Drosophila melanogaster: one gene and its partner. The protein of the gene in region 2 purifies or fractionates together with the protein of the main gene of each other region. This does not show direct contact. Each region holds a gene or a part of one and is shown on either strand. Other genes may lie near its edges.

The links.
Region 1: the proteins of pds5 (region 2) and Nipped-B purify together in Drosophila melanogaster (affinity purification with western blotting, with the first as the bait; one study listed by BioGRID). This does not show direct contact.

What each region holds. Positions count from the first base shown.
Region 1 is NT_033778.4:4,724,894-4,732,324, reverse strand, and holds the start of Nipped-B (Nipped-B), read left to right. Parts: upstream 1-3,307; 5' UTR 3,308-3,546; intron 3,547-3,773; 5' UTR 3,774-3,825; coding exon 3,826-3,892; intron 3,893-3,973; coding exon 3,974-4,145; intron 4,146-4,200; coding exon 4,201-4,316; intron 4,317-4,371; coding exon 4,372-4,531; intron 4,532-4,590; coding exon 4,591-5,477; intron 5,478-5,536; coding exon 5,537-5,701; intron 5,702-7,431. UniProt on the Drosophila melanogaster protein: Plays a structural role in chromatin. Involved in sister chromatid cohesion, probably via an interaction with the cohesin complex.
Region 2 is NT_033778.4:12,026,186-12,036,506, forward strand, and holds pds5 (precocious dissociation of sisters 5), read left to right. Parts: upstream 1-1,799; 5' UTR 1,800-2,047; intron 2,048-2,109; exon of another isoform or gene 2,110-2,367; 5' UTR 2,368-2,389; coding exon 2,390-2,470; intron 2,471-2,531; coding exon 2,532-2,917; intron 2,918-2,980; coding exon 2,981-3,188; intron 3,189-3,246; coding exon 3,247-3,415; intron 3,416-3,478; coding exon 3,479-4,220; intron 4,221-4,284; coding exon 4,285-4,548; intron 4,549-4,605; coding exon 4,606-4,699; intron 4,700-4,761; coding exon 4,762-5,607; intron 5,608-5,672; coding exon 5,673-5,809; intron 5,810-5,870; coding exon 5,871-5,950; intron 5,951-6,011; coding exon 6,012-6,277; intron 6,278-6,349; coding exon 6,350-6,640; intron 6,641-6,703; coding exon 6,704-6,796; 3' UTR 6,797-7,540; downstream 7,541-10,321. Other genes in the region: Mppe (metallophosphoesterase), read right to left, coding at 1-414, 538-800, 857-972, 1,038-1,063; CG8321 (uncharacterized protein), read left to right, coding at 7,950-8,247, 9,303-9,525, 9,591-9,693; CG43191 (uncharacterized protein), read right to left, coding at 10,044-10,198, 10,254-10,321.

The DNA of each region.
Region 1 (7,431 bases), 7.3 Mb from region 2:
GATACAATCTGACCAGCTTTACTGAAGGTTCTTTCAGATTCTGTTGAACCGGCCGAAATGCACAGGTACTTTTTACAAAGTTTGGTTATTGGCTTCAGACTCTCACTGTTTGCCTGAAAAGAGATAAATTTATGAATATTTAATTTAAAAAGTAAAAATGACATTCTTACCATCCAATAAGCATTCAATGCGAATCAAATACTTTGTGAATGCATAAAATATCATTAGTTGTTAAGAACTTGTTTGAGGAACACGCAAAGCGAATTGGATTCGTTTTAATTTGTGCAAAGGATCAATTTAAATATGTTACCCTTACCATTTATGCACTTCGATTTATCGGGCATCAAATATGCAAATTGTTAAAATGGTGTTGGCATTTGGAAAACCCGCCTAAATCGTGACATATACTGACCTTGACCCAACAGTTCAGTTTCTTGCTCATAGCGTGCGTACTCCAACTTGTCCTCCTCCATTTTCCGTTCGCGATTGAGTGCGTCCGCTTGGTTTTGAGCAAATTGTCCAGCTGCTTCCATCGCGACCCGAACTCGTGCTCAAACGAATTGGGATCGGCGAAGCGCGGACCAATGCTACGATCCTGGTTGAAGTCGGGCATCTTTTGATGATGAACTCCTTCTCTGTGTTGTCGTTCACCTCCATCGGATCAACCAGACACGGTCTGAGGGAAGCAGTCAGAAAGAAGCACTTCTCATTGCACATCCATCCGGCAGGCGCTGGCCGATGACTTCTTGGCAAACTCAACTATGCCCTCGCCAATATGCTTGCCACGATCGTCGACGGTGATGCTGGCCCTCTATCAACAATTCAAATGTAAGTTATCTAAATTCGATAAAGTTGATTAGATTATCCCGGGCACTTAATTGTATACAAATATTAGGTATTCTTCACATTTGGGGGGGGGGGGGAGTTAAATAGGGGGGCACGCCTGCAGAGCCGATTCAATCGATGTTATATCAGTTCAGTTTGTATTAAAATGGTGTAACTGGATTGAAATGACGGCACTGCAGATGTGGCTCACATATCAATTGCATATTGTATTTATTTAAATGTATAACACAAATATAGCAAAAGCGCCATAACGAAACATCAAAGGCGGACGGGTCCAATGCACTTGCTAAGAACAATGAACCGGCCACTGCAGCTGCTGGCCAAAATCAAGCGAATCAGAACGCCAACAAGGGCCCAAATCAACGGCAAGGACAAAACCAAAATCAAAATCAAGTCCATGGTCAAGGAAATCAAGGAGGATTAGGAAATCAAGGAGGAGCAGGCAATAAAGGAGGCCAAGGAAATCAAGGAGGAGCCGGAATTCAGGGAAGTGGTCAAGGATTCAGAGGTCGCAATGCTGGTAACAATCAAGGTGGCGGTTTCTCCGGAAGCCCGCAGAACCAGCAGACAACCGAAACCGTAGTCGGTAGTAGCGTGGTCCACGCCCTGGCGGAGGTGCAGGTGGCACGATGAACAGCACCAATATGGGTGGTGGTAGCGATGGAGATGGTGGTCCGCGCGGCTGTGAAGACTTCATCATTTAACATCGGTTTCGCAGGATTTCTGGGCCCACCTTTGAACTGGAAACAGTGGAAGTGCCCACGGAGACGAAGTTCTCCCATCGAAATCGTCTCTATGTGGGCAACCTGACCAATGACATCACCGACGCTGAGCTACGCGAGACGTTCAAGCCATACGAGCCATACGATTAGCGAGATCTTCTCGAACCTGGATAAGAACTTTAAATTCCTAAAGGTCGACTATCATCCCAATGCCGAGAAAGCTAAACGCGCCCTGGACGGATCGATGCGAAAGGGTCGCCACGATTCGCACCGAATGTCATTTTGCGGGTGATTTTGCGGAAGAAATCTCACACCGATACTTAAAACCATCGATAGTATCGATAGTTCCATCGATGGTTTTCCAGCTCTATTACAAACAATAATACCAACTGGGTCTAGTTTAAGAAAATTTCTGTTCCCACACTGAACTTTGCTCCTGAATTGTGTTTTCACTTGACGGACCCACGCGTCCGCGTCCTGACTTTGAGACTCCCGCCCATACACTGCTCGACTACCCTCGTGCACTTATTACTCACTACATGCTTTAGCTGCCTGGTCCAGAGGCGCTGCTGCCGTCTATAGGCTGTTTTATTTTCCCGTTACGCACGGCTCGCTAGAGTCCAAGGTCCACGTGTCCAGTAAACACCTTTACCGTTCGACCTCTGTGCCCTTGGCCGGTCTCTCCGCTTTACCGGGGTCCAAGGTCCAATCTTCAGCGTTTGACCTGACTCCTCCCGCATTACTGCTTTCTGCTCTGTTCTCCTGGACTTATTGTGAGTTTTAAGACCCCTCACAGTATTGCTGTTTTGCAGCAGGGGAGAGAAAAAGAATACGTATGCATATACGATATATACGTTGAGTATGCCCTAAGCCTTTGGTAAGCGTGGAAAGGCTGATTATGCATTTATATTTGGTGGCCGTAAATTGGGTGCCCACCTCCGCCGAATCCGCCTACCGACTCATTTAGTCTCCCTTTGTGAACCGGTATGTGCGCGCTTTGTAAGCAATTTTTTTAGGCCAATTTTTTTCACACTCTCGCACACTCAATGTAAGGTAAGTTTTTAGTAAGTGAGCAAACATGCTCAATAAAACGACGCTATGTGGCGCTTTTCGACTATAATTCGATTGATCGAGCTCTGCAGGTACCGGCTACGAGCTCCACATTTATTGCCAATTGTTCTTCAATCGTTGAATTATTAATTCACAAAATATTTCTCATGTATGAGAAGGACAATTGACTTTACCAAGACGCAAATTTGTTTTAAGCCTGTAGAAAATAATTTTACGTATAATTGCACAAAAAGGTAAGGTAATCATATATCATATATCAATAATTTGTTTTCCCAAGATCCATGATCTGGAAGAAATGAACTAAAACAAAATCGATTTATTCGCATACAATTGCACATCCTTGAATATTCATATCTTGTAAGCATACGCATTTCATATGGAAAAAGAGATTATGCGATATCGGTTGTTTTGCCGTTTTGAACGGCATTTCCTAATGAAGACCTTTTTATCGACTCGTTTTCACTGTTAACATTTATTGAAATAAGTATCGGGACAGGAGAAGTAGCTTCAAGTCGGTAATGCCCTAAATTGCAATAAAACATTTTTCTTTTAGAAATATCTTTCAAACATCCAAGCTCTCTACGTTTTATTGAGTTGGTGTGTAACTACATAGTCTGGAAAGGAGTATTATATATGAAGTATTAACGTTTCGGTCTGAAAAGGTATTTTTTTATTAAGTTTAGCGCGGCCACACTATCCTACAGGTCGGCCATATTCTTCAAACACTATTTCGCAAACTAAAAAATTACAAGTACTTATTATTGTAAATGTATAAGTTGGTATTTAATTAAAACGCAAAGGAGAACCGGAGTAATTCGTTTATATTGAACTGTGGCAATTCGTTAATAATTGTTGATCGCAATAACATAACGGTAAATGGTAATGCTACCGCAATTTTTTTAACTACGTAAGTAGTTGTTTATTATAAATCAATTTAAAGGGATTTATCTAATAGATTTTTAATTTATAAACTAAAAAGATAAGATAGTACATAAAGTGACTTATAATACAGCTGGACAACATCCATATATTTTAATATATTCATATAAACATTGTTTCCAATTACATTGTTTATCATGTTGATGAAATAATGTTTGGTTGTAGCGTAATGAATAATAGATTTATTTTTTTTAGCTCCTAGAATCAAAGTTGTGTTGTAATCTATCGGATTATCCTTACATTTAATATGGGGGAACGTGACAACCCAACCGTACCTGTAACAACATTAGCTGGTTTAACCAGCACTTCTGATTGTAAGTATTTTCTGTGCAAGAAAATATAATGTGTATGTACAAGTTTAAAAACTTTTAATATTTTTCTCGTTTAAATGCAAGTGCTAAGCGAGCTACCAGTGGCGGATTCGCTCCAGAGTGCTGCGTCCTTAAATAAATCTTTATTGTTCCATGCTTTGGTAGCTAACGAGTCTAGCAATTTACTTTCTATGCGAAACGAAAATCTAGTTCGACAATTGGTAACTGCCATTGAGAGAACAAACTCCGATAATATGTTAGTTGTTTAATTGATTGTATGTTTTGCTTTATTAAAATAACTTGTATTTTAGAGAGTTAATACATTGCCCAGTTCAAGACACAGCAACTAACTGTAGTACTTATCCTGAGCTTCTCCAGGGAATATATCATTTTCGCCCAGCGGTTTTTAACACTTCCATAAAAATACGTATGTTTTAATAATAAAAGCAACCATTTGTGTATTACATGAATTTCATCCACAGACTCTCCGGACCAACATACTGCTAATGCTCGATTAGAGGCAAAGAAAATGCAAATTGATTCCTATTCAATACCGGAATGTTATGCATCACCAACAAATTTGTCGATTTCAAATGAACATCAATTGCAAGACGCTCAAGCCTGCTTCAATCAGCTTACTAGGTGGCGTATATATTTTATTATTCTACAAGCCTTATATTTAATGCATTTTTCTGTTTTAGTATGACCTCAAAAGAAATCTTAGAAGAATTTTCACAAATAAATTTTAAGGAAAATGCAACAGAAAAAGATAAAATTGACGTTATTGAAAATTCAGATTTAAATGTGACTAAGATACTTTCACAAAATACTCTAAAAAAAAAGTCTAACACACCAGAAAGAAGTACGGTGCAATCAATACAAGAACAGTTTTTTATTCAGCAACAAGAAGCCAATTATAATTTAAAACATGATTTAAACCAAGTATCAACAAATGTTGGTCAAATTCAAAATATTTCTGATACTTTTCCCCAAGAGCCGTCAAATTTTAATTTAAATTCTGTAAATATCCCAAACATGTTATATGTACAAAGTCCACCTTTCACTGAATCAGAACCAACTCAAGCACACCACTCTTCAATTGAATATTTAAAAAAAAAAAAATCACAAATTCTTGACGTCAGCATTTTAAATCGACAACAGGTGTTAGAAAATACCAGCTTACATATTATTAATAAAAGTTCAACGTACCAAACGAACCAAAATGTATCAACAACTACATCGACATCTACTTCCTCAAGTGGCAAGTCCCAGGTCCGGGTATGTATAAATCGCCTTAGTATTGAGGATTCTCGCCTTATGCAACAGAGTATTAAAAAGTTTGTACAAAAGTCACCAGAATTGGCTAGAAGCATGGGGTTACTACAAGAAACGTGCCAGCAGCAACATGAAAACTTGAATATTATACCCACGAGTGCGGAAGAATGTGTATTAGAGAGTCGTGCTTCCAGTACAAATAATACAGTCAAAATCCCTATTGATACATTTTCTACTATAAAAGCCGATGAAAAACGATCCGCGAAAAGAAAACTTGCCATATCAATTGGTGACATCCCACCGGAACAAATATGTAAGTAATGAGTAATAATTTCCTTATACAAAAATTAATTGATCAAAATTATATTATAGTTTCAAAGCCTAAAATGCGTCGGGTCGAAAGAATTACACCTCTTTCGAACACAAAGTGTGTGAAGGAGGAAGTCACCCGTTCGCAAACATATCAACAATTTATTCGAAACATGGATCACATAATTGAAATATTAGACGATAGTGAATCTCCTAACTTTGACTCAGGTAAGTTCAAATACTCTGTTAAAGCTAGAGAATATTTATGAAACTTTAAGACCTATTATTAATTAGTTCGATTAATTGACACTTATGTTTACAAATATTTTTACCCGTTACTCTTAGAGTAAAGGGGTATACTAGATCCGTTGAAAAGTATGTTACAGGCAGAATAAAGCGTTTCCGTCTATATTAAGTATATATGTATATCCTTGATCAGGATCAATAGCCGATTCGATCTAGTCATATCACTCTGTCCGTATGAACGTCGAGATTGGAGGAAATATATGAACTAGAAGGTTGATATTCAGCATTCAAATTCTAGAGACAAAGATGCAGCGAAAGCTTGAATGCATTCCCCAATTAATATTGATGCAGCGAAATTGATGCAGCGAAAGCTTGAATGCATTCCCCAATTAATATTGGGGAATAAAATGAGAAATGTTTTTTAAATTGCTCTAAAGTGTGTGGTTGACCGGTTTGACAGCTTTAGGGCGTTAGAGTGGGCGTGGCAAAAAGTTTTTGGCAAATCGATAGAAATTTAAAAAATTAAAAATATGTGAAAAAACAGGAACATACTAAAATCGACTAAATACAGCAATTTCGTTATCTCTAAAGCTTGCCCTATAACTTCACAATACTATTGAGCTAGGCTTACGACTATATTTTCTTTTTCATAAGACGAAGGCTGTCCACAGAGTTTTTATTGGTGACAAATCTTGTCAATATATTCCGATTTTTTGCCAACTTGGTACTGGTTTAAACCATCAAAGGAATGCCAGCTTTGATCATCTGGATGATCCGTGTATTTCTTTAACCCTCTTGATTCTCCTTGTCATGGGTTAGCTGAAAGGTTACTGAGGTACTTAGGAGGTAGTTACAGTTTTAAGTCACAGTTTTGACAATAATCAAGTAATAATAATAAATAATACATTTCTTTCAGTGATTTTAGTAAAACGCTTGTTGATTGCACGCATTGACCTTGTTATTTAGTTGAACAGAATCAGAGAAGGGTATTGATAGCATAAGTATTTTTTTTTATCAGGAATTCAAATCTAATTAGGGTGAGTGCAGTTTACTGAGACTATGCCGTTTTGTTTTCGCTTTTGATGGTATTTCAGGGAAATATTTCTGGTTGCGTGGATTTATAGTTTTTTTTTTTAGTTTAGCATTTCATCGCATACTTTGAACTGTTCTAAAGAGACTGACATGAATGAATGATTATAAAATATTAAAAATGGTTTAAAGGTTAAATAAGTCGTAGGACTTAAGAAATGTTTATTTGAAAAACTTTTACCAACTCTGTTTCTAGTTTCATGTCATGTGTGTATATTGCTAACTTGGCGATGGTCACAAAAGGAACACTTTAAAAGTAAAGCTAGCGTAAATTATCTTTATGAACGACCCTTCCTTTTATGAGGATTGCTGTCCAGAGGTCTGCTTCGAATATTTTTTCCGTATACCGTGGGGTAACTTTGTTTCCCAAGGGATTGTTTTGTTTTACCAAGACGGTTTTTCCTACCTTAGCTGTTTTTCCTGAGCTTCATTAACCATTTCTACTATTTTGTTTGCCAGTTCGGGAGGAGTTGAATGAATAATGTCGAATGGTCTTTTATTGGTGGTTGCCTAAATAATTAGGTTGACTGTAGGCATTCATTTCAAGGTTCAGGCATCAAGATATTTCCAAAAGCGTGCTGTGAAACCTTTCTACCTGTCCGTTTGACGTACTATGAATGGTG
Region 2 (10,321 bases):
GAGGGCCTTCAAGTCAAAATGCCTCACGGAGTTTTCATAAAAGTTGATCACCTTGGTGGAGGGGTAAATAAATATTCTGGATTCATGCCAGTGTCCTGAGAAAATGATATGTGGATCCAAGTCGCTGATGATGGCTCTCAACAGGGGTCCTCCGCCAATGAGCAGCGGGGCATGGGATACGCCAATTCTTAGACGATCCGCATTGTTATCCCTATCCGGGTTGCTAAAGTCCAATAGCATGCGGTTTATCTTGAAGAAGCGTAATCGATTGTCATAGTCAAAGAGGTCTTCACTCATGAATTCGTTCTCAAAGCGTCTTTGGTTCGAGTTGGATATGTAGTCGCCATTCTCGCCGCCAATATCATTGTCACCCGGCACATGGACGCGCTGAAAAAAGGCAGAGATCATGCGGAACTGTTAGGTTTTAAGGGGTCAATCCCATTCGCAAAGTTGTATAATCGCTTTGGAAAAACTTTAAATTGAAATAATTATAGGTGCAACAACAATTTAAGGTGAAGCAAAAGCAGTACTCCTTACTTTTTTGTAGTTCTTATTCTGATAAATTCGTCTGAACCGCTGAACGTACTGCTTGTACTCTTGAGCCGTGGCAATGTTGCCTTCGTCCAACAGATCGCCCAGGAACACTATGATGTGAGGCTGTGTAAAGGCAAGAGCTCGCTCGAAAGTCTTCGCCAGGTATCTATCCGAATCGTACCTGGCTAAAGGACTGTGCGAAGATCGATCGTAGGAGTTTCCCAGTATCTGGGGATCAGCAATAAGCAGCAGGCGCGTGCAATTATCTATGTGGGAAAAATAGCTTGTTATGATGCGACTCAAAAACTGTGTTACGGCTTACCTAGTTTGCAATCGATTGGCTGCCAACTGGACTGGGCCATGTAGTAAACTATAAACTCGTTGAAGAAGACCAGCAGCAACGTAAGAGCCACAAAACCGCGGCACACTAATCTGTTTCTTTCGGGGATTATGGAAGGATTAAATAGTTTCGGTTAACAAAAGTAACGTCAACTATGACCCACCTATTGACGACGCGCAAGGAAGCCATAATCCCGGCTATGCCGCATCGGTTTGGATTGCTTGATTAATACTTTCGGTTGTCCTCTGGCAAATGCAACTGGCTTACATTGCGTCTCTATATGTACAATCTATATTTAAATACGCACTGCCCATGCAATATTTACGTAAGAATGCTCATATTTTCGGGAATGTAGAGCTGCTGCAACGGACGGCGCACATCTGACCACAACCGGCCCGCATCATCGCTTTCAGGGCGCACACGCTTAATTGGATTAGAAAGCAAAACATCTAGAACGGCCGGAACGTTGTGTTGCGTCCATTACCACATTCCTCCGATGTTTCGCCAATGCGCGCCATTGGCTTTTGAACGCGGGCAATTCCGTTACAGCGTTTGCCGGCTCCAGGTGCCAATAATTGTGCAATTATCTTTATCCTATGTTTGCACTTCTTGCGCCGCGACGGCTATGTGGCAACGCTACAGCTGTTTGCCAAGCACAACAAACAAAATTAGAGGTGAGCGCGTGATTAGCACTAACTGAATGCTCAAAGCAAAACAAACATGATACTCAAATGTTGTTCTTAAGTAAATTTATAAATACAGTTTAATAAGTTATTTATATCCCGATTTCATTCCGATTATATATCCGATTTCGTGACACGACCCCTTCCGCTCTCCTCGCTAGCACCAACAACACGTCAATGCTAATCAGCTGAAATGCAATCATGTACTAATCTGCGAAGAGTCTGGCCACACTTCCAAAAAACCTCTGGCAACGCTTCGTGCGTGGATTAATGGCGTGCCACTCCACATAAATGCTCCTTGGTTTTTGCTTATTTTTAACAACATAAGCACCGCAAAAGACTCTTGTAACCGAACATGTGTAAATAGCTGGACAGGATCAATCCCATCCATAGTGCAGTGATTCGAAGGAGACGCGCGCTAAGCGGTCATCGAAAGCAGGGGTTCGCAAAATTGCAAAAAAATTGTGCCGCTTCCTGCCCGTTGTGAAAAGTAAGATTCCGAGTTCCAAAAACTGCGCCGCAGTTTAATATAAAACATTGGGTAAATTGCAGTGGCAAGGGCGCTACAATTTGGGCGCTCTCTATTTGTTGTTTGCGAAAAAGAAATAACCAAACAATATTGGCCACTCTGTGTGCTTGTGGTGCTGCTGCCCATGTGTGTGTGTGCTTGTGTGGAGCTTCGTGCTTGTGTGTTCGTGATGCCACCCTCCTCCACTTTTTCAATGTTATTTTGAGGGTCGCATTCGTTGTTGTTGCTGTCGCACGGAATTGTTGCACCTGCCACTGAATCCTTGAAATCCTGGCTTGCAGGTAGCTCCCATTGGCGGTGAGGATGGCGGACATAGTGTACCCCACCGGATGCCGGCCGCTGGTCGAGGATTTGGGCACAGACGAGCTGATAAGGCGCCTCAAGGTGAGTCCTGCCCCTGGTTCCCTTAGCAAAACTTCTCACTTAGAATGATTCTGTTTTACAGACCCTCGCCAATGTTCTGCAGACCATGGACCAGGACGACAATCTCTACCAGCAATACATACCATTGGCCCTCCATCTGCTGGACGACTTCTTTATGCAACATCCATCCCGTGATGTCCAGCTCTTAATCGCGTGCTGCGTGGCGGATGTCCTGCGGGTTTATGCGCCAGAGGCTCCCTACAAAGAGCAAGATCAAATCAAAACTATATTTAAGTTTTTTATCAAGCAACTGCACGGTCTGAAGGATCCGCGCGATCCCTCTTTCAAGCGTTACTTCTATCTGCTGGAGAACCTTGCTTTTGTCAAGTCTTTTAATATGTGTTTCGAACTGGAGGACTGCCAAGAAATCTTCCAAGACCTGTTTAGTACCATCTTCAAGATTGTCAAGTAAGTCGAGCTCTTCCTTTATCCTGCGAACTCTTTATAATCACATGTTATATAATTTTCTAGTGACCAGCACAGTGTCAAGGTGACTAACTTTTTTCTAGATGTGCTAAGCCCGTTGATCACAGAAGCCGACAATCTGTCGGTGGAATTGTTGGATCTCATTCTGATTAACATCGTAGAGCCGTACAAATCTAACAACAAGTTTGCCTGCCAATTAACAGAACAACTTCTCACTAAAACGGGCGATGCTCTCGAGTCCACCATCAAAATGGTAATATTTCGTTGATCTTTGGTGCACCACGTTATTCAACCTAATCCCTGATCTACAGTTCTTTAACCGTGCTCTGGTCATGGATAAGCCAAACACAAAACTGTCCATTACAAACAAAATCTATGATATCATTTACGAGCTTAACCGCATCAATGCAGGCTTGTTGTGTTCAGTGCTACCTCAGCTGGAGAACAAACTGCTGTCCACGGACGATGCTGAGAGGCTAAGTGAGTAATTTATCAGCATGTACCTCTATTTGCATATTAATAAACATATTTTCGTTACTACAGAGGCAACCACTCTCTTGTCTCGTATGTTCTCCGAAAAGGACTCGCAACTAGCGAAAAAGTACCCCAACCTGTTGAAAATCTTCTTTGGGCGCTTCTGCGACATCACCGAACCAGTTCGCATCAAGTGTGTTCAGTCATCCATGCACTTCCTGCTCAATCACCCAAGTCTTCAGCACGATATCACCGAGAAATTGCGGCTTCGAAATCACGATCTTGACGAAGTGGTCCGCCACGAGGTGGTAATGGCTATTGTGGAAACTGCCAAGCGCGACTTCACCCTCGTTCTCGAAGCGCCCGATCTACTAGAAATTGTGCGCGAGCGGACGCTAGATAAGAAGTACAAAATTCGCAGGGATGCGATGAATGGTCTGGCCTACATCTACAAGCGCGCAATTTGCGAACCCAACGATCTAAGCACTGGCCTTAAGGTCAGGGTTGACTGGATTAAGAACAAGATACTACATGGATACTACAAAGTGGGCTTGGAGGACCGCCTGCTTGTGGAACGCCTACTTATCACCTGCCTGGTTCCCTATAAACTAGCTCCGGAAGAGCGCATGAAGAAGCTATATCATTTGCTAGGCGATCTCGATGCCAATGCCACCAAGGCTTTCGTCGAGCTGCAGAAGAACCAAATGAAGACACGCAATACGGTCAGTGATTGGATCAAGCTACACCACTCTAAGGAGTTCACGCCGCGCGTACTTAGTCAGCTCAGCGCCAAGCAGGCCAACATTGCCAAGTGGGTTCTATAATAAGTTTTCTTTTGATAGTTTGTAACCAGTGATGTGTTTTTTTTTCTTCAGACTGCTTCCAGATCCCCTAAAAGCGGCAGAGTACCTAACCCAGTTTAGCAACAACCTGCGAAAAGATGCTCAGCTCCTACGATGCATTAACATTGTCCTTAAACGCGACGTAAGCTGTCGGGAGTGTGCTGACACGATGGGAGTTCTCCTGAAAAAGCTTGGCGCCCACGTCCAATCGAATCTGTATTACAACACAGTTAAGATGCTGATTGAGCGCGTGGCATCAGTGATGGTGGACAAGGAGTCTATTGGCGTACTTATTAGGTAAATTGCTTTTAAGTGCCCTTTTGCCAGACTTAATCCGGTAATCTTTTTGCTCAGCCTAATTGAACAATGCATCGAGAAAGGGTCCATGTGTGAAGAGATCGGAATTTCGGCTCAGGAAGCGGGCGAGCGCGGACTCAAGTTGTTGGCCGTGAGTATAGAGATAATTTAAGTTATGATACAGAAATCCATTTGATTGCTTTATACTTGCAGATGCTTTCATACGTCTTTTCGGCTCATTTCTTCACCGATACTTCGCTGCGTCATTTAATTTCCCTGCTCAGTTACGAGCAGGATTATGTTGCACCACTGGTGCTAAAGACACTAACTCATCTGGGGCGCTATCAGCCACTCATTGACGACCCTACACCGGCTATTCTCGACGAGCTGGCTCCGGTGTGCAAGGACTTCGCACTTATTGGAACCCCCAAGCAAGCAAAGCACGCGGTGCGATGTATTTTCGTAAACAGCCAGTCGTCGGCTTCCACTGATGGAGCAACAAGTGGAGCTGGAAGTGCGTCCACAACTACACAAACAGTGCATCCTATTTTCAACGAGATCATCGAGACGCTTCGCCTAAAACTGACACCAAACTGTGAGCATCAGCGCACAAAGATTGTGACCTTGGGTCACATTGCCTACAATATGCCACAGGCCTTCCTAACGCCCATTAAGAATATGATTGCGCGACGAATTGTCAAAGAGCTGCTTATCCAAGAAGTTCCTGCGCAGCGAGACTACGAACTGCCAGAGGACAGTGATTGGTGTGCCCAAGAGAAACTACCGCCGGACACTCTATGTAAGCTGGATGCGCTCAAGGCTATGGCCAGGTGGCTTTTGGGATTGCGTACCGATGAGCACGCTGCCCAGAAAACATTCCGAATGCTGGCGGCGTTTGTTAACCAACGAGGCGATTTGCTCGGCCAGAACCGTCTTTGCGGTGCCGAGAAATCTTGGCTGCGCCTCGGGGCAGCCTGCGCCATGCTCAAAGTGTGCGAACAAAAGGGCGTAGGTGATCAGTACAGCGCTGAGCAGTATTTGCAGCTTTCCCAGCTGATGGTGAGTAGAGACATTCATCTTGTGCTTAGAACTTAGTCTCAATGTCTATCTCGGTGTTCCCGTAGGCTGATCCGGTGCCAGAAGTTCGGGAAATCTTTGCTCGCAAGCTGCACAAAGGATTAAGCAGAAGTTTGCCCAGGAACTGTTTGCCGCTGGACTTCATGGGCTTGTATGTGCTGGCTGGTCTAGAGACTGAGAGGAAGTGAGTAGTTCAAGAAACCATCCGATCCGTTCGGAGAAGTATTGATAAATATTTTCAACAGATTGCAAGACCTTGTGCGTCACTATGCAGAAACGGATGTAAACAAACGGCGGGAATATCTCAAGACTGTGGCTATGACATGTAGGTGTTTTACTTTTGGAATCATATTGTGTATTTTAACCATTAAATCAAATTATTCCAGCTCCCGACAGCTCAACGGAGTCACAATCATTACACATACTACCTGACTACATGCTGGCTTTCGCTATTCCCGTGCTGGTCCACGATCCACGCTTCACGAATCACGAGGACTACGTACAGCTGCGCAAGATGGAGAAGTGCCTGCGTTTCATTCTGGAGCCGCTGATGGCCAAACGAGAAACGTTTGTCCATAGCTTCTACAAGCAGCTGCTGCAGCTGATAAAGCATCGCGAGTTCAGTCTGGGGTCGGACAAGCGCGACAACTATGTATGTCACTCAATCATTTTCCCAGGCTTTCCCTTCTAAATTATATTTATACATATATTTTTCGGTTATCAGAAAATGTGGGCGCTCTGCGATCTTGCCATGTACATTATCGACTCCAAGTTCAGTCCATTTGATGGCAACACGAGCACCTTTTCCATGCCGCTGGCTTTGCCAGAAATGTATTATAAAGAGCCTGCCGTTGCGAATTTCCAAAACAATGACGTCTATATACCGCTGGACGTGTATACGCTGGGAGCCAAATCCACGAGCAAAGCTGCCGCAACAGCAATGACAACGTCGCGAGCAGCAGTGGCTCCAAAGAGACCGGCGGAACAGTCAATCATGGATGATGAAAATCCGCAGGTGAGTGAGGTCCTTGGAAAATACTGAGAATGAATCTAACTAGTGTGTGAAATTTGATTTCAGGAGAACAATCTGTTCGACAACATACGAGCGGCTGACACTACGGAGCCCATGGCCAAACGAACGCGCGCAGGAGCCGCTTCAGCCAAATCATAGGGGCTGGGATGGCGCAGATTGGAGGTGGAGAGAGCGCATACTTGTTAGTTTAGTTATGTTTAGTCTAGGCGCCTAAGTTAACTAAATATTTAAGACGTAGGAAAGACCACGATAGTTGTTAAACCGACACTACCTTTATCCACACCATGCAACTCACAACTAAGCACCCAGAATTCGGATTGTTCAGTTTCGCATTCAGTATGTACTATATCAATTTTGTGAGATACACCAAAAACACAAACATCAAAAAAAGAAAAACGAAAAAAGTGTCGAAAAATCTGTTAACCGCAACTCTGTAAAAGTAATTATTTATCATTTAAAATGTTTTATCCTGTTCTTTTATAGTGTTTGATTTATTGATTGATTTTACCATTATTCTTAGACTATTGTATATCGAATAAAAAAAGGAAAGTATATCGCGCATAAGTTAAAGTACGAAGTAAAGTAATGAAAACGTAAACAGAGCCTTATTAAGTAATTAAAATTAACTTTTCTATGATCGCAGTTAATTTTTAGTTAATGTAACATCATCATAATACATACAATTGTCTCGTTAAATTCAACAAGTATGCATTCAAAATGCATTCAAAAAGAAAACCTAAAAGCGTAAGAATTGGAAAGAAAACTACAAAGATAAAAATAAAATGAATACACACATTAAACTATAAAACATGTACATTAAACAATTATTATGGTTTTTAAATTACAAATAAACGTATGATTATTATTTAAATGTTAAAATGGATATCGAAAATGGGCTTTTAGTTTAAATTATTAAAATGTTGTACTTTTTTAATATAAAGTAAGTTTAAAAAATGGCTAAAATATAATTTTTGTTTCTAACTTTTTTCTTTTCAATTTCAAAGTCGCTCTTAGGAGGGCTAAAACTAATTTGAATATTGATAACAAATGAACTATCGATAAGAGGCCGTCGATAGTTCACGGTGCAACATCAACTCTCCCATCACTAGTTCCAATTGCATTTTCTGCGTTGTTTTTTTTCGGGGGTGTGACGTTTTTCTTGTTGTTTTTGTGCTATTGTGAAATAAACCAAACAATTGTCGAGTTAAATAGACACTGATTGTTGTTTTGCCGCGCAGTTCGAACAACGAAAACTAATTCCAAACAAAGCTTACGCCGGCAAAACCACGAAATGCAGGTGGAACCAGCCGAAGTCGGCTGTGACGTCACGCATCGCCAGCAGGAGAAAAACAAAACCAATGGGATTTTCTCAACGGCAGTCAGAAGTAAAAAAAACGGGCAACCGAACGGACGGATCTACACCTCCACGCCGAAGACCTCGCATCCGAAACTTGAGCACTACGTAGGTGTTGCTAAACCCTCGGAAAAGGGGCGAGTGGGAGTGGTGACCGCCCTCGATCCGCTGATCAAAAAGGTGGCCCTTCTCTTTGGGACTCTTATCATTGGCTACAAAAGCGTCATCTTAACGAGTAAGTGTGCCAAGCTGGGGGCTAAACGTAAATATATTGTGGGTTTATTGGATTTCCATTTGTTTATTTCTGTATATCCCCGGTGTGGCGGGGGTGGGAATTCAAGGTTGCAATTGTCGGTTGCGTCGTCTTTACTCGCACTTTGTTTATATTCTCGCGTTTATAAATAGTTGAAGTTCGTGTGATCTCATAGCGGTGGTGTTTGTTCCCCCTGCATAAGCCGCCGAATAGCGAAAAAACGTCTATATAAGGAAGGCAAATTGTTTGATGCGCATTAGCCGTCTCATTTGCATACAAACGTACTGAAGACCTTAGAAAAATCGTCAAAGAGTGATTAGTTGCTTCATCTTTGAGGCAAAATGCCATTAGTTAGTTAATTGTTTGCCCAGCGGCTATTAGTTATTCATCTACGCTTAGCTTAACGGTATTTAGCACTGGGCTTTCGTCACGCGACACATACATGTATATTCTAATGTATGTAATATAAACATTAGAAGGTACCGCTAGAAGGCCCAGGAAAATAACGAATTTTACATTTCTGACGATATAGCAATCTTTATTTGCTGCAGGTTTTGCATTAGGGTGGCTCCAAAAAAAGTGCGACAAAAAATTTAATAAAGTTTAACAAAGCTCAAAGAAAAAACACATGTTTAATCAACTATTTGTTAAATAATTCAAACATATAAATTTGATATAAGCAGAAAACAAATTTTATACATTGTCGAGAAAAGAAATAATTAAACCAATACAAACGAATATTTATTTCCAATCTTTCCCATCGGTCCAAATCTATAAAAAGCGCAACCTTGCTATTTATGGTGTAACGAATGGGGTTTCTGTACATTTTTGCAAATTTCTTTGCCCACTAATTCTTTCCATTTAGCCAAATTGCTTTGATTCCCTCATAGCGTACATATCTGACTAATAAATTTGAACCACCCTAGTTATAAACCCAACATTTTGACGTGTTTATCACGCTAGGACTGATAACAGTGAAATCAATAGAACGACACTCAAAATGAGATACTAACGAGCTTTGGGCGTTCTCTTTGCAGTGCCATACATCACGGGCGATTCCATCCAGGTGCTGAGCCACCAGGTGCAGAGTAGGTGGAACGAGACCTTGGTGTGGGCCACCAGGCACCAGCTGGGCTCCAGGCTGAGTCCCCTGCTGTGTGGCCTTCTAGTGGCAGCTTTCGCGTACGGAATCGTGTACTTGGACAGCGCGGTGCCCGGCGTAAATCCCCCCTCGCCCTTTACGCCGCGTTCCAAGAAACGGTAAGCTCTGGGGAAATCACCTTTAATTATTCATTATAACATGGAGTCTTTACTTCAATTTGCAGTTTCCGCGAGGAGAAGACTGCCTCGATGCACTTGGGCTACTTGTGCGCCCTGTTCTGCGGATTTCTGGTCACGGTCTTCATGTACTTCGACTTGTACTCGTAGAACTGAATACCCATTTCCTTCCAATTAGTTCAATAAGTTCACCAGTATTAGACTTTATACGCCCACTTCGGAATTTGTATTTGTTGTAGTCCTTGAAACTGTGCAATGCTCCTGGAGAGAATCGTCAGGGGGCATTTTGAAGCTAACTTATTTCCTAGGTATATTAATTATAAGTTACTAACTCTATAAATTATTCATGATTTGTAAACTACAAAAGTACAAAATGAAACATTTCACTGTTGATTGGAGGCCAGGATCGAAAAGCTTAGGCTAGCATATTTATACCTTGTGAAAAGTACACTATCGCCTGGCCTAAAAATCTCAAGAAAACTGTATCCTTAAAAAATAAATTACTTTTGCATAGTGTTTTGCAATAAAATATACGAGGTAACATTTTCAATGCGCAGAAATTGCTGTTGCCAGTCAATGTCGCTTACCTGGTCAATCTTAAATGTTTTCAAGCGATTTTCGCCAATAAACTGGCCCACGAGATGGACAAAGCAGCCTTTTAATGAATAAAACTTTGGTTATGTAATGGTTATCAGTTTCCTGCATTTTACCTGGGCTCCAAGTACTCATAACGCCTTCGAAATCGTAGTAAATTCCCTGAAGGACGGGCCCCGATTCT